Kluyveromyces lactis: one gene and its partners. The protein of the gene in region 2 interacts with the protein of the main gene of each other region in a pairwise test. Links are inferred from orthologs where the notes say so. Each region holds a gene or a part of one and is shown on either strand. Other genes may lie near its edges.

Region 1 (3,944 bases), on a different chromosome or scaffold from region 2:
TAGTCGTTTTCAATTTCGTAGGTATATCGTCCAATGCAAAGGATAAAAGTATTGTTGCTAACCTGTCAAAATAGAATACCCAGTCATCTCTTGAAACGCTTTTGTCTAACAATATAGTCTGTAGAGCCTTCACCTGATTAGTTTGTCTCAACTTATGAATTATATTTAAAGAATCAATCGACACAGCGTATGACTCGAGCTTTTGAAGTTCTGCTAAATGCTGCTGCGATTTGAGCTGCAATTTAGACTGAATGTGATTAAGTAACATCTCAGTCGCAATGCTGTTATCTGACATGGATGGGATGATTGCATCTGCTGCCTTCATGGTTGGTTTCACGAACCTATCCGCATTTGGTTTAACAAACTTCTCCCATTGTCTTATGCAACCATGCAAGTCTCTCCCACGAGAGATGATATCCCTTGTCAATCTTCTAGCTAAACATATATCTAAATCTGCATCCACGTAAACCTTCAAATCCATTAAATCAAGAAGTCTTTGGTCATATAATGCGTAAATTCCTTCAATAACAATAACACTCGCACCATAGATGGTTAAAAACTTATTTGGAATTCTATCATGATCTGTGAACGAATAGGTTGGGATTTTCACCTTCTTACCTTCTTTCAAAGACAGGATACATTGATAAGCTAGATCCAAATCTATTGAATCCGGTTTATCGAAATCGTAGTTATTTTCGAAAGCCTGCTTTCGTTCTTCGACGGTTAACGGTTTATAGAAATTGTCCAACGATATTAATACTGTCCATGGAGTGTTGATTCTTGTCACGAGTTTGGTAGCAACACTCGTCTTTCCAGAACCTGAACTCCCTCCAATACCAATAACATACGGTGTTGTCCAAGGTGGTATATAGCCAGAAGAGTTCATTCTGGACGCCTTGCAAGCGTTTTATGAACACTAAATGTCCTATGCCTGGAACTGTCTATGTCTGTTTTCTGATTCAGATAATGTTTATCTGGAAGGTTTCTATCAGTCATTTGGCATAGTTTTCAACATTTGATATTGCAAGAAAGCCACTCGATGTACCTTTCACGATTAGAAACTAAAGGTGAGGGAAGAAGAAGAAATAAGCGCTACGAAATCAGGTAGAACGCTCTCGCAGCATACCGAATCGCAGTTCATACTATGGGAACCTCAGGTGATGAAAATGGTACTAAACTTACGGGATCAGGACAGCGCAGAGCGAAGAGAACTTATGAAAGCATAGAATCGGTAAATGCAAATACTAACTCATTCTCACCTGCAGATCAAGTTTTGGACAGTAGCCCGGACCCTTCATTGAAGGATGGTAAGGCTCATTATTCGGTTAACTCGATTAAGTCAATGGTTGAGCAAAAAGTTTTGACTAAGAGACAGCGTTCTCAGTTGCACTGGCTGGTTAAAGATCTTCAGATTTTAGAAGATGACATAAAACGTTATGGTTGGAATAACTTAACTGTTAGTGAACGAGAAGAGATATCGCTGAAAAGAGAGCTATTGAAGCTCTTAAATGAAACTGGAAAAGACTATGCTGAAAATGGAGATACAAGTGGATTCAAAATGCAAGATGAGGTCGCATCAAAGAAACAACTATTGACCGCCAAACTTCGAAACAAAACCGATAGGGTGAACTGGGAAGAGGAGCAAATGAAGAAAAGTGTAATTAAGGCAGATGCAGATGAAATCAAAGTTAAGGATTCAGATAATTACGAATTTGTTTTTGATCCTGAGTCCATGATTGATTTTACTGATGATACGACAGATATTTTAGAACCTGTTGAAGACGGTAGATTGGCTGAAGCGTTAGAAGAACAAATTAACAAGATGAAGAGTATTAAAGAAACGAGGAAGTCATTGCCAGTTTATCAATATAGACAAGAAATTTTGGATAGTATTCGGCAACATCAAATTTTGATTGTTGTTGGTGAAACGGGGTCTGGGAAAACCACCCAACTTCCACAGTTCCTTGTGGAGGATGGTTACACCAACGATGGAAAATGCGTGGTTTGCACACAACCACGTAGAGTTGCTGCAACTAGTATTGCTTCAAGAGTTGCTGATGAAATGGATGTAATATTGGGGAAAGAAGTCGGTTATAATATCAGATTTGATGACCGAACAACGCCTGATAAAACAATCTTAAAATATACGACAGATGGGATGTTACTTCGAGAATTTCTTAATGACCCACAACTATCATCGTATAGTGCAATAATGATTGACGAGGCTCACGAGCGCACGTTATCTACAGATATTTTGTTGGGGTTGCTAAGGGGTATTTTACAAGACAGAAAAGATCTTCGACTTATAATTTCTAGTGCAACTATGAATGCTACTAAATTCTCCAAGTTCTTCTTTGATTGTCCGATATTTAATGTTCCTGGTAGACGCTTTCCTGTGGATATTCACTATACACTTCAACCAGAAGGAAACTATATAAATGCTGCGATCACCACCATCTTTCAAATTCATACCACCCAAAAATTACCAGGTGATATTTTGGTATTTCTAACTGGTCAAGAGGAAATAGAATCGATGCAAACAAAATTACTTGAGATTCTTTCCAAGCTTGATAATACAAAATTTCCAGATCTCTTGGTAGTACCTATATATGCCAATCTTCCTCAAGAACAACAATCCAAAATTTTTGAACCTACACCGAAGAACTGCAGAAAAGTAGTGCTTGCGACAAATATTGCAGAGACATCGTTAACAATTGACGGCATAAAGTTCGTGGTAGATCCAGGTTTTGTGAAGGAACAATCCTATTCAGGAGGAGTTTCAAAGCTAGTGACAGTTCCATGTTCTAGGGCATCTGTTGACCAGAGAGCAGGGAGAGCAGGGAGATTGGGTCCAGGCAAATGTTTTAGATTATTTACAAAATGGTCTTACTACAATGAGCTTGAAAAAGTACCAAAGCCAGAGATTTTGAGAACAAAATTGAATCAAGTGGTTCTACTTTTGCTTTCACTAGGTATCAACGACTTACTTCACTTTCCAATGTTGGACAAACCAAAAACTATCCAGCTAAGCGAAGCCCTCGAAAATTTGTATGCCATTGGCGCTCTCAATAGCAGAGGTGCAATCACAAAAGTAGGACAAGTTATGTGTGATTTCCCATGTGATCCTGAATATGCCAAGGTAATATATTCTAGCGTGTTTGAAGAAAGCTGTAATGGTGTTCTACCTGAAATTGTTACGATTGTCTCTATGCTTCAAGAGAGCAACTCTATATTTGTACCGGGACTCAATTCGGAAGAAAAGACAAAACTTTTTGGGTCATTGATGCAGTCAAGTGACCACATGCTATACTTGTGGATATATGAACAATGGGAAGAGAATGGATACTCACGAAGATGGTGTCAAGATTTCAAGTTGCAACATAAAACAATGAAACGAGTATTGAGGATACGACAACAATTATGGAAATATTGTAGGAAACAAGATTTTCTGCTTAAGCATGACCAAAACCTTACTCAACTCAAAGAAAACATGCCTCGTTCCGTCATTGAAGCAAAAATCATTAAATGCTTTATATCAGGATTTCCAACAAATATAGCAAAGCTCTCTAAACAAGGCTATACTAACATAAAGCAAGATTTATCCGTCAGCGTTCACCCATCTAGTGTTATTTTCAACCGAATGAAACAAGAAGGAAAACCAATGAAATACATCCTCTATCAATCTTTGATGCTTACAAGTAAAGAATTCATTAGAGATTGTATAACATTTGATAAATACGAATGGCTCACTGAAACTATGCCACATATTTATAAATGAATCTTTGTATCCCCAGTTAATTGAGGAGTAACATATGCAACATTTTCTAAGAAGCTTTTCAGAACATCACGCCAAATTGTTGGCGAGTCCACCTATGTTCTGAAAAACCAATTGTAGAATAATCGAAATCAAATCAGTTATTTTTCTAATTACTTCTAATGTTCAA
Region 2 (4,150 bases):
CCTATTTATCAGTACGGATGAAGCAATCACCTCATTTATACAACTTGCAAGGTTCTTCAGGAGACATGAGTGATGCTGAGCTCATAAGAGTCAACAGAAATATTGTGCATACGGCGTTGAATTTATTACAGAATAACGGTCTTGTAAACTATGACTCTCTTTCTAAGTCGGTACAACCAACTGAGCTAGGTAGAATATCCTCTCATTTCTACATAAGTTATTCGTCAATTGCAAAATACAACCGGGAGTTAACAATAAACAGCACTTTGATCGACATTCTGAGAATATTTGCTATGTCAGAAGAGTTTAAGAACATTACCGTAAGACAAGAAGAGAAAACTGAATTAGAGAAACTCGTCGAGCGTTGTCCAATTCCGATCAAGGAGAAGGCTACTGATTCATTAGCCAAGGCAAACATTCTACTTCAGGTGTACATTTCAAAATTACGATTGGAGGGGTTCGCTTTAAATGCGGATATGATTTACATTTCTCAGAGCGCAGGTAGACTTTTCAGAGCACTCTTCGAAATGTGCTTAAGAAAAGGATGGCCAAGACTAACCAAGCTTCTGCTTACCATCTGTAAATGCGTCGATAGCAGAATGTGGCCCACGAACTCACCATTTAGGCAATTCAAGAGATGCCCTCAAGAAATCATAAGACGAGCAGAAGCGTCTGGTTTACCCTGGAACGATTTCTTACTGTTGAAGAATGCTCATGAGGTAGGCGAAGCCTTAAGATCTCCAAAAAATGGTAAAGTTGCTTTCGATTTGCTTCAAAGATTCCCGAAGATTGGCATTCACTGCGCAATGCAGCCAGTTACAAATTCACTACTTCGTTTTGAGTTGGAACTCCAACCTACATGGATCTGGGATCTGGATTCCAGCAGCTATTCTGAAACATTCCTTGTTCTTGTCGAAGACACAGACGGTGAACAAACAATTTATCATGAGACATTGCATGTTGGGAGAAATGCAATAAACAGCATTGTGTATCTTGACTTTGTTGTATTTTTGAAGCAGAAAATGTTACCGCCGAACTATTTTGTATCCGTTATATCAGAAAAATGGCTAAACTGTGAGTACAAGATTCCTGTTATTTTGAGTGAAATAAAATTACCTAAACCATTCCCTCCTGCAATATCTGTTTCTGATTCAATTAAGAAAAGTACCAAGGAACTACAAATTGATGAATTTGAGGCGTTATACAATTTCCATTCTTTCAATAAAGTTCAAACTGAAGTTTTCGATACATTATACCATGAAACTGAAAACGCACTAATATGTGCAACAAAAGGTTCCGGTAAAACAATAATGGCAGAACTTTCATTATTGAACCATTGGAGAGAAGGCAGAGGACGTGCGATTTACATTTGTCCATTCAAAACCAAGATAACTGAACTTCTAAAGAATTGGAAAAAGCGATTCTCACATTTGGCTGGTGGAAAACTGATCAATGCTTTTTCTGGAAATTTGCAGCACGATCAAAAACAATTAGCCCAATCTCATCTAATATTAGCTACTCCGAATGAATTTGAATACCTGTCTCGTCGCTGGCCGGAAAGAAAAAACATTCAAAGAATAGAACTAATTATTTGTGATGACATCCATGAAATAGGCAACGAGATAATTGGACCGATGTATGAAATCATAATTACGAGAATGATTTTCATTGCAACACAATTGGAGAAGAATATAAGGATTGTGGGGCTTGGAACCCCACTTGCCAACGCAAAGGATTTCGGAGAATGGTTAGGTGCAAAAAAATCAAGTATTTTCAATTTTACTGCTTTAGAAAGGCAAACACCCTTGACAGTCGATATCGAAACTAGCATTTTAGTAAAAAGCCCTACTTCTAATCGAATGGCCCTAACTGAGATCGTTGAAAGTAGTAATCGTGTCGCCTCACCCGATGAAACTATAACAGTTTTCGTCACTGACAGATATGAATGCGTTTCTTTCGCGACAGAACTCGTTGGTCTCGCTGTTGCTAAAGGCATTGATCTTCTTAGAGCAGAGGAATCCAGTTTACACTCGTATCTCAACAAGGTCCAGGACAGCAACCTCAAGACACTGTTGCAAAGTGGTATAGGAATTCTATACCAAGGTATGCATTATTCCGATAGGAATGTAGTCCGTAAGCTCCATGAATACAAGGTGATATCGATTTTGGTTGCAAGTAGGGATTGTTGTTTTGATGCCCCTTCATCAAGTTTTGTCTTTGTTACTACAACTCAATATTTTGAAGGCAGGGAGAACAGATACATCGATTATCCTGTAAATACTATTCTTGAGATGATGGGAACAGCGTTTACGGCGTCAAATAAACAGCAAGCACATGCAAAACTAATCACCACAATGCAAAGGAAGGAATACTATAAAAAATTCCTTTGTGATGGGTTACCAACGGAGAGTTCTCTGCCATACCATGTTATTGATTTACTTACAACGGAGTTTGCAAACCAAACATTAGAAACCAAGCAAGACTGTATCGACCTTTTAACTTACACTTATCTATATCGTAGAATACATGCAAATCCAAGTTTCTACGGTATTCAAGATGTGACTGCAGACGAAATTTCCTCCTATTTAACAGAATTAGTAGAGGAAGCAGTAACAACCATGAAGGAAACCGAGCTTATATCAGTTGAAGGGGAAGCGAACGATTCCACAGAAATTGCAGAGGAGGTAATTTCCCCGAATAATGCCTGTCTTATTTCTGCTATCCATGCCGTAAGTTGTTTAACGATATGCAATTTTAGCCGAGCAGCATCAAGATCACTAAGAATGAGCGGTATTCTTGAAATTTTGTCTTCAAGTGAAGAGTTTAAGACATTGCCTCTTAGATTACATGATATAAAGCCATTAAGAAAATTATACGACATTTCACCTTTGAAGTTGTCCTCCGAATTCGATCCACGCTCCACAACAGCCAAGGTTTTTGTGTTATTGCAGGCCCATTTTTCAGGTCTTCATTTACCCATGGACTTATCACTTGATTTGTCTGAAATCCTTTCAAAAGCACCTAGCTTAGCAGGAACAATGGTAGATATATTGTCAATGAACGGTTATTTGAATGCCACTACTGCTATGGATTTAAGTCAAATGATTGTTCAAGGTGTGTGGGATACTGATTCACCTTTGAAACAAATTCCATTCTTTGATACAGACATCTTGGAGAAATGCAAAAACCATAATGTAGAAACAGTTTATGACGTGATGGCTTTAGAGGATGAAGAAAGAGAAGATATCATCACTTTACCGGAAAATAAGTTGAATAAAGTCGCAGAATTTGTCAACAGTTATCCAAACATTGAGTTGAAGTATGCTCTAGATATGTCAGCACCGATGAAACCTCACGACAAAAAAATGGTTACTGTAACAGTAAGTAGAGATGAAGAACCAGAAACACTAAATGTTAGCTCAAAGTCGTTGCCACATGAAAAAACTGAAGCATGGTGGATATTCATCGGTGAAAAGAGCTCCAGGCAGCTATATGCTATCAGGAAGATCGCGCTTACAAAAATGACCCAGGACTACGAATTGGAAATCGAATTGGAAGATCCTGGTGATCATGAACTAACAATATGGTGTGTATGTGATTCTTACTTGGATGCCGATAAGGAAGTAACATTTAATGTTAACATCGCATAGTAAATGCATAAATAAAAAGAAAGTACTGTATATATGCAGTGAATATAAATTAAAATAAAATTCTTTCTATAAGCAGAGTAGAATCCCTTTATCTAATCCTTCATTTCAATGTCCCCGTCATTATCCTTGACTTCTGTCACATCCGAATCAACAAACCCGTTATGTTGCTTTTTCTTAACACTTTCTTGGTGCGCCAGTAACTGTGCATGACTCCACACAGATACACCTTCTTGATCTTTTGGATCAGTTGGTTGTGCCATGGTTCGCAAAAATTGCTTAGTATTGGCGATAGCCATATCCGTGGACAAGTTCATGTCGGCATCAGATAAACCTTGTGCAATCCATTTTGGTAGTTGACTTTTCTTCCTTGCAAATCTACGGTCTGCCAACACCATTACACCGTAGTCATCTTTACCACGTAAAACTCTACCTAAGCATTGAGCTGCATGTCTCATTGCATCAAAAGATAAAAAGTCATTCTCTCGGATCTGGTAATTCTC
Region 3 (4,050 bases), on a different chromosome or scaffold from region 2:
CTGCATGACTACCTTTTGAGAACTGAGAAAGCTCTCCTCGCATTGAGCAGAAGACAAATGGATCTCTGAGTGAAAGATTTTGAGTGTCCATGACATAACGAATTGTAATGTCATGCAACGCCTGCTTTAGATCATAATATTCTAGGAGAATAGGAACTGCGTTAGTCATGGATGATTCACTGAACTCGTGAAATTCTTTTTCGAGGTTTTCATTAGAATGGCAACGTTTCAAGTTAAAGAAAAATTGTAGGTCCAACTTATCAATTATATTGAGAAAAGCAGCGGATTCTTTCAAACCATTATATGTTCCCATACTGAGTTCGACTAATTTTCCGCCGTCAACTGAACTTAAAATCGCTGAATTGTCCGTCTTGTAGATATTGCTGATCAGGGATAGCTTGTCCCTAAGAAGATTTAAAGTCGTATGATTTAAGGGGTACCTGGCAGGTTTAGAACCTTTTGACCGTGCACGTAATTTGTTGTGTATTTTTCCTATTGATCCCGAAGAGTTTTGCTTTTCTAAATTGGAGTTGACAGTTCTAGAACTTGAACTACTGTACTGCCTTCCTGAAAACATAAGACTCGAAAGAGACTCTGGAAAAAATGAGGAGCTCGCATTCCCCTGGTCCGATTTGTTGGAAATATCACTCGAATCTTCAGATTTGGAAGCAAATGAAGGATCTGATTTGGTCCACACTATACCCTCAAAGGAGTTTCTTATAAATCTTGGGTATATCTGAACTAATGCATCATCCGGTGAAACAGAATCAATGATAATGTTGTGAAGGTTGTTGACAAGTTTGAAAATATTTGTGAAGTCAGTGTGTATCACATTAAAGAGAGAATTCAAAACAATACCTGTCTCCTCGTCGATGAGCATATTCGATGTTTGAGTTGTATTAGTTGGAATTGACGCTCTTGGGGAATCTGGGCTGATCTGAATAGTTTCTGACGTCATAGTTCCTTGATGTGAGCTATCTAAGCTTGCGTTAGGATTAAAAGAAGTTGTGGTACTAGTACTAACATTTCTTAAATCAGGAAACTCAATATTGTTAGGTAAGACAAAGGCTTCAGAAGTTCTTGTGCCATTATTCAAAGTATCGCGGTTCGAAGTCAGCATGTCTCCATTGAATTTCTTGATGTCGGAGGAGTTCATAACGATTTTGCTACTAGAATTGAAATATACTGAAGCATTTACGTTGATTCTGAAGACGACCTTAATCAACTTTCTCAAAATTTTCCTAATATCCTTTACAACATTCCTTTTGATAAGTTCTTTTCTCGCTAAGTTACAGGCCAACTGATGGTAAAAGATGTAAGTTGACGCTTTCGAAAAGTTCTGATAAAATGATGGTTGGTTTTGTTTGAAGAAATGGTTATGTGAAGCTTTCAAATAATAGATAGTGGAGTTTTTTAACTCCGTCCACGTTTTCATGTCAGAACTTAATGAATAAAACATTCTACTATTCGATTGCGGTAATGGTTTAGGAGCAAGTGGCTGTGAGTTTTTCGGACCTGCTTCTTCATTTTTTTCATTGGATTGCGTAGGATTTGAATGCATACTGGGTGATCGACCTGGAGATGGACAGGGTTGACTTAGGTCTGGTTTTGGACCAGATGGTGTATTTGGTTGCTTTTGAGAAGAGTTTCCACTGATGACAACCATTGGATTAATGGGACTCGCATCATGTAAGTTACGGTGCTGAGAAGAAATGACAGATTCCAGATCCATCACTTGAGTATTAGGCAAAAAGTCTGATTCTAGGCTTCTTGCTTGTAAGTCGACCAGGTTTTCATTAGGCGGGAAAACAGATTTTAAGCTTAGTTCAGGTGTCCTTGATATAGGTAAAGATGTACAATAAATGTTCATTTCTTTATTGAAGTATAATAAATTATTGCTTGTAGTCAAAACCGGGGTCCATACCGGCACAACCTCTTGTCTTGACATGTTATTTAAGAGCATTTCAACTTCTTTAGTAGAAAGAATGTTGATTTCTGACTCATGAAGAGTATGTGGGGACCGTATTGACGATACAGAATGTTTACTGTATGAATGATCTGAGTTACGGGATTCTGAATGAGACCGCGCTTTGGATAAAGATTCAGATGAACGACAGTAAGAGTTTCGAGAACTGCTAGTTGATGCACTTCTTGATTTGGAGGTTGCATTTGGTTTGCTCCTTGAGTGAGAGAAGGATCTGCGATTCATATCGAATTGGTAATCCTGTTTCAAATGCGATGACGGGCTAGAATTATTGACACTACTTGCAGAATTTGAAGGAGACGTCGACAGTAGCGTTTGCCCACTATTTATTGCATTATCATGATTATCGTGGAAAGTAGTCGTACCAAGACTTTTCCTTCTAAAGTTCCCGGTACTCACCAAAGATCCCCTTCTTGACCCAGACGTAGAACGAATATTCATATTCCCAGATGGGCTGCCTATCCTCAAACTGTTCCTCCGTGACCCATGGCTACTAGGCCTATTATTAAAAGCATTGCTGCCATGGTAATTCAGAGGAAATATCTTCCGACTTGAACTGGTATCCTTTATTGATTTAGTATAACTTCTGGGGAACCAGCCCCTCAAAACCAAGCTCTTATTATAATATAAAATACCGTCCCACCAACCTGAGTCACTCTTCGATATAACGTAGATAATATCACCGGCAAAAAACCGTAATTGAGATTTCCTTAGCGGATTAAAGTCATACTGCGCTATCACTATGTCCAAAGGTTTTATAATTGTAGACAATCCAGCTTTTGGAGGATTCATTCCCTCGTCCTGTGGCCTTTCCATTGTCAGTTGTGAAAGCTATAGAATAAAAGCACACTTCACACGCCTCTTTTTAATATATAACTCTTTGACAATAGTACCTAACGTTGTCCTGTGATTGTTTTGATGTATTTCAGTTAGGTTTTGCGCTTTGACTTATCCCTGTGATATAAAAGAGCGATTTGACTAGTTTTTTAAAAGAGTTCATGAAAGTGAAAAATAAAAAAAAAAAAAAAAAATATGAAGAAATATCATTCGTGAAATATCCAAACTGAGTATTCGTTACGTTAAAACGGCAAAAATAGTGATTAGCAGTATACTGAATTTGGTAAGGCAACCCCTTAGCTGTAAAATAAGGGATGTATTGGGTTGTATGGTTTGAGCCGTATTATGTATTGATATCTAGTTCTATAGAGGATTAAACGGTTCTTTTGAGCTTGAATTACGTATTTTGAGTATGCGCCGTTTGGAATTCGACATATAAAAACTAGGGAGAATCCGGGCACAGATCAGAAAGTTACATTGGTTCAATGCGGTAAAGGCTTCACAGAAGATTAATGCATCTTTGTCCTGATATTTGATCAGATTATTAGCTCTATAACCCTTTTACTTGATGCTTTCAGTGGCAGCGAACATATCAGTACACGTGACTTCAGAAAGGATGTTGATGGGATGATAAAAACAGGTTCATGTCTTTACCACTATAATCACTGAGTCCCCTCTAAGAAAGAGTTTCGCTACGAATCGCTCTCTGTTAACCTTCTTACCATTTACATTCTCTGTCCATATTTCTTTAACGTTTTCCAGAACCATGTTACAGTGCTTGTCAAAAGATTTCACACGAGCTATGAGTTTATGATTGTTCCTTAGTGATATTATAACAGGTGTCCTCTGTAGCATTGATTCCCTGATTAGAGACATGGGTCCATATTTCATTTCGAATTCTTCTAGTTGTGTTAGCTCGTCTCTAGATAGTTCAGACCTTGAAAGGTCTGTCTTTGGAATATATGTATCGGCCATCGTGTTTTAGGTCAATTTTCTAGTATATGTAACAGACAAATCCTGAAGATAAGTCCTTGGCTTATGATATTTGCAATCTCGTAAGTTTGTGATAACTTGTCCTGATTGCCATATGATATGAGAGGTTCCTTCTTTGGTCATCTCATCATCTCATCCTGTGCATCAAACCCAATATACCATCCAGTTGTTTTCTTTCGGATTATCCAATTATCATTATCATTATCCGGGTAATCTTACACTATATAAATATCAAC
Region 4 (3,977 bases), on a different chromosome or scaffold from region 2:
AGAAAAATAGTCCGGAAACTAGTGAGATTATCACAGAGCGTGTCATACTGTAAGGAATATCTTTCTCTGGTTTCTCAGTTTCGTCAGATAATGCCGATAACATCGCAAACCCTTGGAAAGTGAAATTAGATTGCTGAAACCCTCCAATTAAAAATGACAAGGCCATAGAACTATACCCCGACAAACTATTATCGAATTTGGTAAAGACATCCTTGAATGATCTATGGTTTGGTTGGAATAATAGGAGAAGTGTACTTGTGAATAATATCGCATATAAGATCCAGTAAACACAGACCTTATTGATAGTTTCAATGAAACTTGAAAATTTTAGATTAATGACTCCAACCACAGTCACAATGAGATAAAACATTAGCACAGTCCATAACGTCAACCACCGGGAGTCTATCAGAGATTCATTAGTCATTGTCAGCAAAGAAATAATCAATTGTGCACCCGCAAACGTAATACTAGTGCTCATCGTCCAACTTCCAAACAACATTAGCCAACCACAGTACCAAGACATACGCAACCGAAGTCTGCCAGGCGCAAGCATGGCCGCTGCACCGTGAAGTTCTATGGGGTACTTCGAGACTATCTCACTGAGCGACAGTGAACTAATCCACGTCATTATCCCACATATCAGATACCCAAATATTATCGATGGAGATCCACCATTTAGCAATCCAATACTCATAGTAGTGCTCATACCAAGTACGGGACTCATCAACCCAAACCCTAGACCAATAACAGAAGTCCGCGAAAGTAAATTCTTGTCAAGTTGCTGTACATATGTAAACTCTTTAACCTCATCGGGAATATCCTGGTCTTCCTCGTTCAATAAAGACAACAATCGCTCGGGAATGTGTATGTTCCCGTTAAGATTAGAAAGCCAGATGTATTCAGGCATTTCAAAATGCAGTTCGGCTCTGTGTGACCCCTTGGTAAGCTCACCCTTTTTATTTCCTAGAACCCTTTCGGCATCCGTCTTGGCAAAATGTCTGTCTTTTCGAGGGCTCATCGATATTTTCAGTTCTTAGACATTATGTAAATGTTGACGAAAGTCAAAGCTTCGAGTAATGAAGATAGAATGATAAGCACATGCATTGCTCTTAGGGAAGACTACTGCGATTTGGGTGACGTGACTCAGCACTGAGTACTTTTGGAAGGAAATACAATAATGGATGAAGATTTGTACGATGAGTTCGGTAATTTCATTGGGGATCCAATGCAATTAATCGATTCTGATGATGATAGTTTGGAAGAAGTAGGAGAGCAGGAAGCTCAACATGAATTACGGCAAAAGATAGTCGAGGCTGACTCTACCGATGTGGTACTTCGAGATGTGAACCGTGATTTCGATGATGATGTTGAAGTTTTGTTGGAAGTGGAAGATAGAGAACCTGAGAAACCATTGATTGGGGACGATTCGAAATCATATAGCGAAGCTGTTAACAGGAAAGTACCTAAAGCACTATTTGACAGAGGGTACTTGAAAAGCCTTTTCTCGATACCAGAACGTCAGTTAAATGTTGGAATTTTCGGGGCGCTACATTGTGGTAAGACTTCTTTCACGGATATGTTTGCGTTAGATACTCATCGCAATCTTCCGTCCTTGACAAAAAAAGTTAAGGAGGGATGGGTACCGTTTAGGTACCTCGACCAAGCGAGGATAGAAAAGGAACGTGGTATTTCGCTTAGATTGAATGGTATGTCGTTTGCATATGAATCGTCAAGAGGACGTACGTATGCAGTGACGATGTTGGACACACCTGGACATGTAAATTTTTGGGACGATGTCGGTATTGCTTTGACTGCTTGCCAATATGGTGTAATCATCGTTGATGTGATAGAAGGAATTACTTCTGTAGTTTCCAAACTGATAAGAGAATTGATAAGTAATGGGATCCCCTTTATCATCGTTCTTAACAAAATTGATAGATTAATTTTGGATTTGAGACTTCCTCCTACAGACGCATACAGCAAACTACAATATATCGTGAACGAAATAAACACATATACCAAAGAAAGATTCTCACCGGAGCTAGGTAATGTACTCTTTGCCAGTACCAAGTTTGGATTCTTATTCTCTGTGGAGTCTTTTGTGAACTCATTTTACGCTAAATCGTTAAAGGATAAGACAGAACAATTTGCTGCTCAACTTTGGGGTCAAATTAATTACAGAGAAGGAGCATTCTACCAAACAGAATTTATTACGGACAACATTGCATTCATTCAGTTTATTTTACAACCTTTATACAAGGTTTTCACTCATACATTATCTGCATCCGAGGAAGAACTAAGAACAGTCATCGAAACCAATTTTCAAATCAGGCTTTCAGATGAGATTCTATCAAAGGATCCTCAGCCGCTACTTTTTAGCGTGTTTCATGCTATACTACCGCACTATCACTGCTTCATCGATGCTATTGTTTCAACACAGGACCACAAAATCAACAACTTATCATCCGATGAAAGCACTGTTGTACATGTATTGAGACACATGAGCCTGGAAGGTTCCAAGTGGTCCCTTTGTCGGATAATAGAGGGCTCAGTGAAAAAAGGCAACAAACTCTATATTTTCAATGAGTCCGTAGACTCTGTAGTAGATTTTGGTGATGATGAATACTCCAAGGTTACTATTGAGCGTGTAGCCTTAATGGGAGGTAGGTATGTCTACGAACTCGAGGAAGCAATAAAAGGACAGATTGTACTTTTAAAAGGTTTTGAAGATCAGTATACGAAATATGCAACTTTGTCTTCGAGCTTGATGAACCCGCTAGCACCAATTAACTATCTCAACGAATCGGTGTTCAAATTCGCCATACAGCCTCAGAAACCAAGTGAACTACCGAGACTATTGAACGGTCTTCAACAAGCAAACGAATTGTACCCTGCATTAGTGGTTAGAGTTGAAGAAAGCGGCGAAAACATCATAATTGGAACAGGAGAACTTTACCTTGATTGCGTGATGGACGAATTACGGAAAAAATTCTGTGAAATTGAGATCAAAGTAAGCCAACCGCTTGTGCAATTCACGGAAAGTTGTCAGAACGAATCGTTCGCGTCAATTCCTGTAAAGTCAAACAACGGTGTAGTATCACTCAGCGTTATGGCCGAAAAATTAGATGGAAAGATAGTACACGATTTGACGCATGGTGAAATCGACAGTTCAGAATTGAATAACATGAGAAAGTTCTCCAAACGTCTAAGAACCGAGTATGGATGGGACTCATTGGCAGCTAGAAACTGCTGGGATTTATCAAAATGTAATGTATTCATTGACGATACTCTACCTGATGAAACGGATAAGCAACTACTCAAGAAATATAAAGAAAACATTTTACAAGGGTTTGAATGGGCTGTGAAAGAAGGACCATTGGCTGATGAAACAATCCATGCATGCCAATTTAAACTCTTGCAATTCAAGGTACAAGAAGACAGCATCGAAGATATCATCCCATCTCAACTAGTGCCAATGACGAGAAAGGCATGTTACATTGCGCTAATGTCTGCTACTCCAATTATCATGGAACCCATCTATGAAGTCGATATTATCGTATCGGGGGTATTGGAGTCTGTGATTCAGAATTTATTGAAGAGACGCAGAGGTGGAAGAATTTACAAGACAGAAAAGATAGTGGCATCACCATTCATAGAAATAAAGGCTCAATTACCTGTCATCGAGTCGATTGGATTTGAGACAGATCTTCGTGTTGCGACCGCCGGTAGCGGAATGTGTCAAATGCACTTTTGGAATAAAATATGGAGAAAAGTGCCAGGTGACGTACTTGACGAAGAAGCCTTCATACCGAAGTTGAAACCAGCGCCTGCTGCAAGCCTAAGCAGGGACTTTGTGATGAAGACAAGACGTCGCAAGGGTTTATCTGAAAGTGGTCACATGACTCAAGACGGGCCATCATTAAAGAAATACATTGATCAAGATCTATTCAAGAAGTTGCAACAAAAACGATTTGTAT
Region 5 (2,639 bases), about 880 kb from region 2:
TTGAGAACAGATGACTCTACTGTGCCAGCAGCTGCAACTTCAAGCTCGAAGCAAACCGCTCCTGTGCTAACACCAGCTCCAGTTCCATCTGGTTCAAACCCATGGGGTATATCTCAAGCACCCACACCAGTTTCTACTATTTTCAACAAGACTTCTACTTCTACCACTTTCCCTACGTTGTCAAGCTCCTTGGGGGAAACTCTGAACAGTCCAGGTCCAGGCACTCCTACGACCACTGGATCTGCCCCAACAGCAAACTCTTCTTCTAACGTAAGTTCGAAGAAGAAGGGCGAAAAGACATACGAGGATCCTTACGATCCAATGGCAACATGTGTTAAGTTCCTAGATCAAACTTTTAAGTTTTTATCAGATATTCCTGAAAGAAGCTACACATTCAACTCCAACTTATTGGATGACGAAACATATCAAAGTTACCCATCACTTTTTTCATTTGAGAAGATTGGATGTAGTGAGCAATCTGAAGGTGTCTTGGGTGCCAAACTATGTGATTTGCTTACTATAAAACCTGTGGACCACATGTCCTCTCTTCTGCCATTCATTCAAAACAAGGCTACACCTACCATGTTACCACCGGGAATTGCTGTCCAGCAACCACAATTAGTACAACAGCAGAAGCAGCAGCTACAGCAACAGCAATTACAGCAACAGCAACAACAGCTTTCACTGCAAATGCAACTACAAGCCCAACAAGGCATGGCGCAGCAAGGCATGGCGCAGCAAGTTATGAGCCAGCCACAAAGCAATTCTTCCGATCTACTAAATCAATTAATTCACGGTAAGAAACAGACTGCTGCCGTATAATCAGTACTCAGTATGATTCCAATAATATTTCTTTTACGAAGTTAGCATATAAATAAATATATATATTCATGTACATTCATTTATTTTTCAATATAAACCGTTCCAGGTTGTTAGATAAACAACTGTTTCAATTTCATTTTTCCAAATCAGACCTTGTAATCTACTGTCTTTCTGGGTTCTTCTTTCTGTCAAAGGCATTCACATTAAAATACATATTTTGACACACTCTTTTTAAGGTTTTTCCATCAATTATGTGAAAATTGTAACATTTAACATCTAAATAGTAAAGATGCGCCAAAAATATGGAATATAATTACATACACTTTACCTCAGCGCATACACCTTAACCTCGATACTGCGGTAAGCGCATCAATAAAGATAATATTGGCACATATCCATTCCAATTAATAGATGAAACCACAAACGAGGAAATACAACAGGCATAATGGCTTTCACACTTTGACCAAACTTCCGTCTTCAGTATCAAAGTTATTTACACAAGGTCCACCATTACCACCATCGAGAGTGAGAGTAAGGCGAAACCAGAACAAGAAATATGCACTCACTGGTGTATCAGCCGTGTTGCAACATGTTTCAGAGTATAAGAAGGCAACCCATCCCGTATCAGAGAACCAACACTTGAAAGTATATGATGAAGCCATGAACGAATCGCACAAAGAACAGGAGGAGTTGATGAAGAAAATACAAGAGTGGCACCCTGAATCAGATGCAAACATTTCTAGTGACCCCTACCGCACATTATTTGTCGGACGGTTACACTATGCCGTAGACGAAGTTGAACTACAGAAGAGTTTCGTCAAATACGGCGACATTGAATCGTGCAGAATAGTAAGAGACCAAGACGGTAAGAGCCGAGGATACGGTTTTGTGCAGTTTACCAGTTATGAAGACTCCAAACAGTGTTTCAGAGAGCTTGGTGTAAGGAAGGGAATAGAAATCATGGGCCGAACATCCATCGTTGATATAGAAAGAGGCAGAACGGTGAAATTCTTCAAACCTCGACGTCTAGGTGGAGGATTAGGAGGACGAGGTTACCAAAGGAAAGATCTCGTAAATAAATTAACTGGTGCTTCAACAAGACCGATGCATGAACATGCTAGAAGACCCATCAGAAGACACGATACCTTCGAAAGAAGAGGTCCTCCACAAGGGCATTCCCATTCTTATCAACCAACTAGTCCAATATCCTCACCTGCATCAAATTTCCAAAAAACTGCAAGTTCTAGCTACCGATCAAGGAGGGACAGATCTCGCAATGATACTTCCAATGGTTCTACAGACACATTGATGTATTGAGATGAGATAAAAAGACACATCAAATAGCACGTGATCAGAACTGCTGCAGTGATCTATATACATTTTCATATATATTCATATAAGTAGCCATACAGATGAGCCATGGCTAAATGTTATATGTACTTCCTACCATTTCTACCTCTGTTCTCATATCTACGCAGTTCTCCTACATTGTGCCCACTGGCCAAGCATAACTGAACCACTACCTCTGTATGCATGAGTAATTTCTTGATCGATGACTGATTCCAAAATAACGATGGAAAAAATTATTCCAGTCAAACAAAAAAAAAAAAAAAAATGGCAACTCAGCGAATCGCACATATAAAGAAAACCGTTTTCAGTTTCCCATTCGCTAAGTATTTCCATTAGGTATCTAAAGTATGAGTTAACTCGTAAAGTACTGAACAGCATTATTGTCTAATCGAAGTTAAGACCAGCTCTATCCATCTGCAGGACAAATTAAAGGGTTTGCAGGAAAGTGTTGATACCTGCCTTTTCAG
Region 6 (4,150 bases), on a different chromosome or scaffold from region 2:
CCTAACGATAATGACCCCAGCTGTAACTTATTGAGATAGACACTAATTTTTGCACGTCTTCCATTGTATTATATTACATGCATATATATAGATGTTATAAGCCATTTAATAGAGTTGATGACTAACGATTGAAACATAAGGTCGATGGTTATCTTATTACTATTTACAGATATACAGTATGTTGTTTTCTTTTACCTTTTCTCATGCTCTGTACCAGAGTTCCTTTCTCTTTTTTCTTTCGGCTCTGGCCAATGCTCTCTTAGGATGCCATTGGCTCTTTATCGTCTCAAGAACTTGATTCATTTCTGTCTTTCTTTCCTTGGGTGGTTCAGAAACAATAGAGATGAACAACGGAGAACAGTTGAACTTCTTTGCTAAAGCTTTTCTAGAGTTTTTCACCGGGTCCTCCAGTCTTAGTCTTCTAATCTCAGCGATGTCTTCAGGCTTCAAATGGTAGGTCTTCTCACCCTTCTCATGTAACACTGGCGCTACCCTCGATATCTCTGCGTTACCTTGCGTTAGGTCATCTATAATGTCGTGCCTTGGATCAGTGGCCGGTAAGAAAGATTTTGGAATCGTTTCTGAGTTAGTAGAACCATGGATAGAGGATGGAGCTGGATCGTAATATAGACCTGCTGGAATCTTGGCTTTCAAATAACCTTTGTAATTGGAGGCAGATGATTTTGGATTGTAAATGGTAGCTGGTCCAACGATCTTAGGTAACTTACCTGATTTATCAATTATCTTTGAAAGATCCTTGGCCGCACGGGCGCTGGTCGAAAATAGTCTCACCATACTGTAGCGAATATGTCAAATGTAATTTCTACAGCGTAATTGGGGATTATAAGCCTGGTGTAAGGGTCTAAAACTTGTTATTTAAACTATCAATCACCATGTTTCGCACTGCAGACTCTAAATCTTTCAGTTTGATGCTTTCAAATTTTTCAGATAGAAATCCTGATGAGACAGACAGGATTAGTATGGGAAAACAGTTTATTTCGAGAAATATAGGATTATTCTAGTGGATATACCTACCTGAAGATGCTTCTATATAATATCGATTAGTACTATGAATGAGTGTGAGCTGACCTGTTAAAATAGGGCTTATATTGGCGATATTATGCAGCTTTTAGAAGTGCCAATTTGGACTATTCTGTATCTTTTGTCACGTGAAAGCCGGGTAATCCCAACATCAACATCAAATGTCGTTCCTATTCACAACAGGAAGAGCTGAAAGGCTATGAGATGGGACAAGAATAATGGCATAAACAGTCCTTGTGATACTTCATTAGCAGCTCTGTCTCATCAGGTTTTACGCCAGGTGGTAGGTTTACCAAGCAACAGAATTAGATGAATGCAGAACTTCAAGAATGGATTCAACAGAATACGGAATCAAGAGTGACAGAGAAGTTTGTTGAGACTTTAAGGCAGATTGCACGTATTCATAAGGATGTAAACAAGTTCATCGGGGGTGCTAAGGCTTTGGGGAAATTTAAGGGCAAAGATGAGTTTTTGAAGCAACTTTTTGAAAAATTACAGGCACATAAGCAGTCTCCAAAGCCAGAATCAGCGGCTGTTCCAGCAAGAACCATAAGGAAAAAATTTGTGGTTAAACTTCCGTTGGATGACAAGGAAGACGACGATGAAGATGAGCTTTCTACTGTGAAGGTACAAGTGAAACCAAAATTCAACAAGCCTTTGACTTTGAAACGTATTACGAAGCAAACTGCAGCAAAATTGAATGAGTTTTCAGAAAACACTGAACCAGTGGTCATGGTAAAAAAAGAAGAAGCGACCAAAGGCACACTTATCGATGCAGAAGGTAGTGATGTGGAAGATATAAAGGACGCCAAGGATTTTACTGCACAAGATAGAAATTGGTACGATAATGATGATGATTTTGATAACGTCATTCACGATGATGAATATATACCAGCTCAGCAAGATCCGTACGAAGGCGGCGACAGAGAGCTTGACTTGAATGAACCTGAAATCCAATTAACTTCCTTATCGTTGAATGAGCGTAAAACCATTATTCCTCCGTTTTTACTTGATTTCCATGACCAGTCAGGAGAGCTTGCGATAGTGGGTGCTTTGGATATGTCTTCAAATGCAAATAAGGGAATAGCAGATCCGATAAGAAACCCTGAGAGCGACTTTTCTATTAATGCAAGGAGAGGCAGCAAGCTTGTAGCGATGAGGAGGATTCATAGAGATAGAAAATCTAAATCTCAGAACGCTACCGAGCTAAAAGGTAGCGCCTTAGGTAAAGTTCTAGGAGTAAAACAAGATAGTTCAACTGACGCGCAAACTAAGCAACCTAATCAGCCCATTGCTATAAAAGAAAAAGAGCAGAGCTTTGAAGAAATACAAGCAGTGAGAAGGTCTTTACCCGCTTATAAAGTACGACACGACTTAATGCGCCATATTAGAGATAACCAGATTACTGTGGTTATTGGTGAAACGGGTTCAGGTAAAACAACACAATTAGCACAATTCCTCTACGAAGACGGTTTCACTGCAAATGGTAGAATGATTGGATGTACACAGCCAAGAAGAGTAGCAGCTGTATCGGTTGCTGAAAGAGTTTCCAAAGAAATGGATACCCCAATTGGTGTTAAAGTTGGATACTCAATCAGATTCGAAGATCAGACTTCGGATTCAACAAAAATCAAGTTTATGACCGACGGTATACTCCTTAGGGAGGCAATGATAGATCCGTTGCTTGAGAAATATTCATGTATTATAATGGACGAAGCTCATGAACGATCTTTGAACACCGATGTGCTCCTAGGGATCTTCAAAACATTATTAGCTCGAAGACACGATTTAAAACTTGTCGTGACATCGGCAACAATGAATGCAGATAAGTTCTCCCAATTCTTTGGTAATGCGCCACAATATTTCATACCGGGAAAAACTTTCCCCGTCGAAATCATTTACACTAACCATCCAGTACCTGATTACGTTGAATCTGCTGTTCAAAAAGCTTTAGATATACATTTATCTACACCAATTTCAAATGGAGATATCTTGATATTTATGACTGGTCAAGAAGATATTGAAGCAACTTGTTCTACCATCATCGAACGCTTAACTGAGATCTATACTAAAAAATACGGGGCAAATTATGAGGAGCAATTAGCGGATGTTCAAGTTCTTCCAATTTACTCGTCGTTACCTGCAGATGTACAAGGAAGGATATTTCAAAGACAAGAACAAAACGTTAGAAAGATTGTTGTTGCCACAAATATTGCTGAAACATCATTGACAGTTGACGGTATTAAATATGTCATAGATTGTGGGTACTCCAAATTGAAGGTGTATAATCCGAAAATCGGCCTTGATAGTTTGCGAATCACACCCATCTCACTTGCAAATGCTAATCAACGGTCAGGAAGGGCTGGTCGTACGGGCCCTGGTATCGCATATAGACTTTTCACTCATGATTCAGCGATGGAAGATATGTATCCTCAGGCCATCCCAGAAATTCAAAGGACAAATTTGGCAAATACACTCTTGCAGTTGAAATCGTTGAATATCAACAACTTATCGAAATTCCCTTTCATTGATCCACCGCCATCGCAGAATCTAATGACATCGTTGTACGATCTTTGGGCCTTAGAAGCTTTGGACAACTTCGGTCATCTAACTAAATTAGGCAGACTGATGGGTGCCTTCCCTTTACAGCCCTTTCTTTCCAGGGTACTAATAAGTGCATCACAATATGGCTGTACCGAAGAGATGTTAACGATTGTATCTATGCTTTCGGTTCCGTCTGTCTTCTATAGGCCGAAGGAACGTGAAGAAGAATCTGACCAAGCCAGAAGCCGGTTTTTCATCCCTGAATCAGATCATTTGACCCTACTTAACGTGTATGCTCAATGGAAAGCCAACAGATATTCTGCCCATTGGTGTAATTCACGCTTCTTACAATTCAGATCTCTCCAAAGAGCTAAAGACATTCGAGAACAGTTACTCTATGTGATAAGAAAATTGAATTTACCGATGGCTTCTTCTGGGTCAGACTGGGCTCCAATAAGAAAATGTCTATGCACCGGTTACATCCAACAGACTGCCAAACTATCAGGGTTAGGCAAATATGTTCATTTAAAAACAGGGATGGATCTCAAAGTACATCCAACAAGTG

The links.
Region 1: the proteins of BRR2 (region 2) and PRP2 interact in a two-hybrid assay, tested with the Saccharomyces cerevisiae proteins (2 studies listed by BioGRID). The link is inferred for Kluyveromyces lactis from reciprocal best matches to the Saccharomyces cerevisiae genes BRR2 and PRP2.
Region 3: the proteins of BRR2 (region 2) and CDC25 interact in a two-hybrid assay, tested with the Saccharomyces cerevisiae proteins (2 studies listed by BioGRID). The link is inferred for Kluyveromyces lactis from reciprocal best matches to the Saccharomyces cerevisiae genes BRR2 and CDC25.
Region 4: the proteins of BRR2 (region 2) and SNU114 interact in binary tests that used the Saccharomyces cerevisiae proteins (3 or more experiments, as listed by UniProt). The link is inferred for Kluyveromyces lactis from reciprocal best matches to the Saccharomyces cerevisiae genes BRR2 and SNU114.
Region 5: the proteins of BRR2 (region 2) and SNP1 interact in a two-hybrid assay, tested with the Saccharomyces cerevisiae proteins (2 studies listed by BioGRID). The link is inferred for Kluyveromyces lactis from reciprocal best matches to the Saccharomyces cerevisiae genes BRR2 and SNP1.
Region 6: the proteins of BRR2 (region 2) and PRP16 interact in a two-hybrid assay, tested with the Saccharomyces cerevisiae proteins (2 studies listed by BioGRID). The link is inferred for Kluyveromyces lactis from reciprocal best matches to the Saccharomyces cerevisiae genes BRR2 and PRP16.

What each region holds. Positions count from the first base shown.
Region 1 is NC_006042.1:601,845-605,788, forward strand, and holds PRP2 (DEAH-box RNA-dependent ATPase PRP2), read left to right. Parts: upstream 1-1,144; coding exon 1,145-3,778; downstream 3,779-3,944. Other genes in the region: uridine kinase URK1, read right to left, coding at 1-886. UniProt on the Saccharomyces cerevisiae protein: Involved in pre-mRNA splicing. Is required together with ATP and at least one other factor, for the first cleavage-ligation reaction.
Region 2 is NC_006039.1:1,579,252-1,583,401, reverse strand, and holds the end of BRR2 (ATP-dependent RNA helicase BRR2), read left to right. Parts: coding exon 1-3,650; downstream 3,651-4,150. Other genes in the region: TFIIH/NER complex ATP-dependent 5'-3' DNA helicase subunit RAD3, read right to left, coding at 3,743-4,150.
Region 3 is NC_006040.1:782,602-786,651, reverse strand, and holds the start of CDC25 (Ras family guanine nucleotide exchange factor CDC25), read right to left. Parts: upstream 2,801-4,050; coding exon 1-2,800. Other genes in the region: mRNA splicing protein SMD2, read right to left, coding at 3,464-3,796. UniProt on the Saccharomyces cerevisiae protein: Promotes the exchange of Ras-bound GDP by GTP. This protein positively controls the level of cellular cAMP at start, the stage at which the yeast cell division cycle is triggered.
Region 4 is NC_006037.1:603,834-607,810, forward strand, and holds the start of SNU114 (U5 snRNP GTPase SNU114), read left to right. Parts: upstream 1-1,177; coding exon 1,178-3,977. Other genes in the region: TPO5 (Tpo5p), read right to left, coding at 1-1,018. UniProt on the Saccharomyces cerevisiae protein: Component of the U5 snRNP complex required for pre-mRNA splicing. Binds GTP.
Region 5 is NC_006039.1:703,699-706,337, reverse strand, and holds SNP1 (U1 snRNP complex subunit SNP1), read left to right. Parts: upstream 1-1,233; coding exon 1,234-2,139; downstream 2,140-2,639. Other genes in the region: CCR4-NOT core ubiquitin-protein ligase subunit MOT2, read left to right, coding at 1-822. UniProt on the Saccharomyces cerevisiae protein: Involved in nuclear mRNA splicing.
Region 6 is NC_006037.1:689,251-693,400, reverse strand, and holds the start of PRP16 (DEAH-box RNA helicase PRP16), read left to right. Parts: upstream 1-1,350; coding exon 1,351-4,150. Other genes in the region: MRPL20 (mitochondrial 54S ribosomal protein mL58), read right to left, coding at 202-795.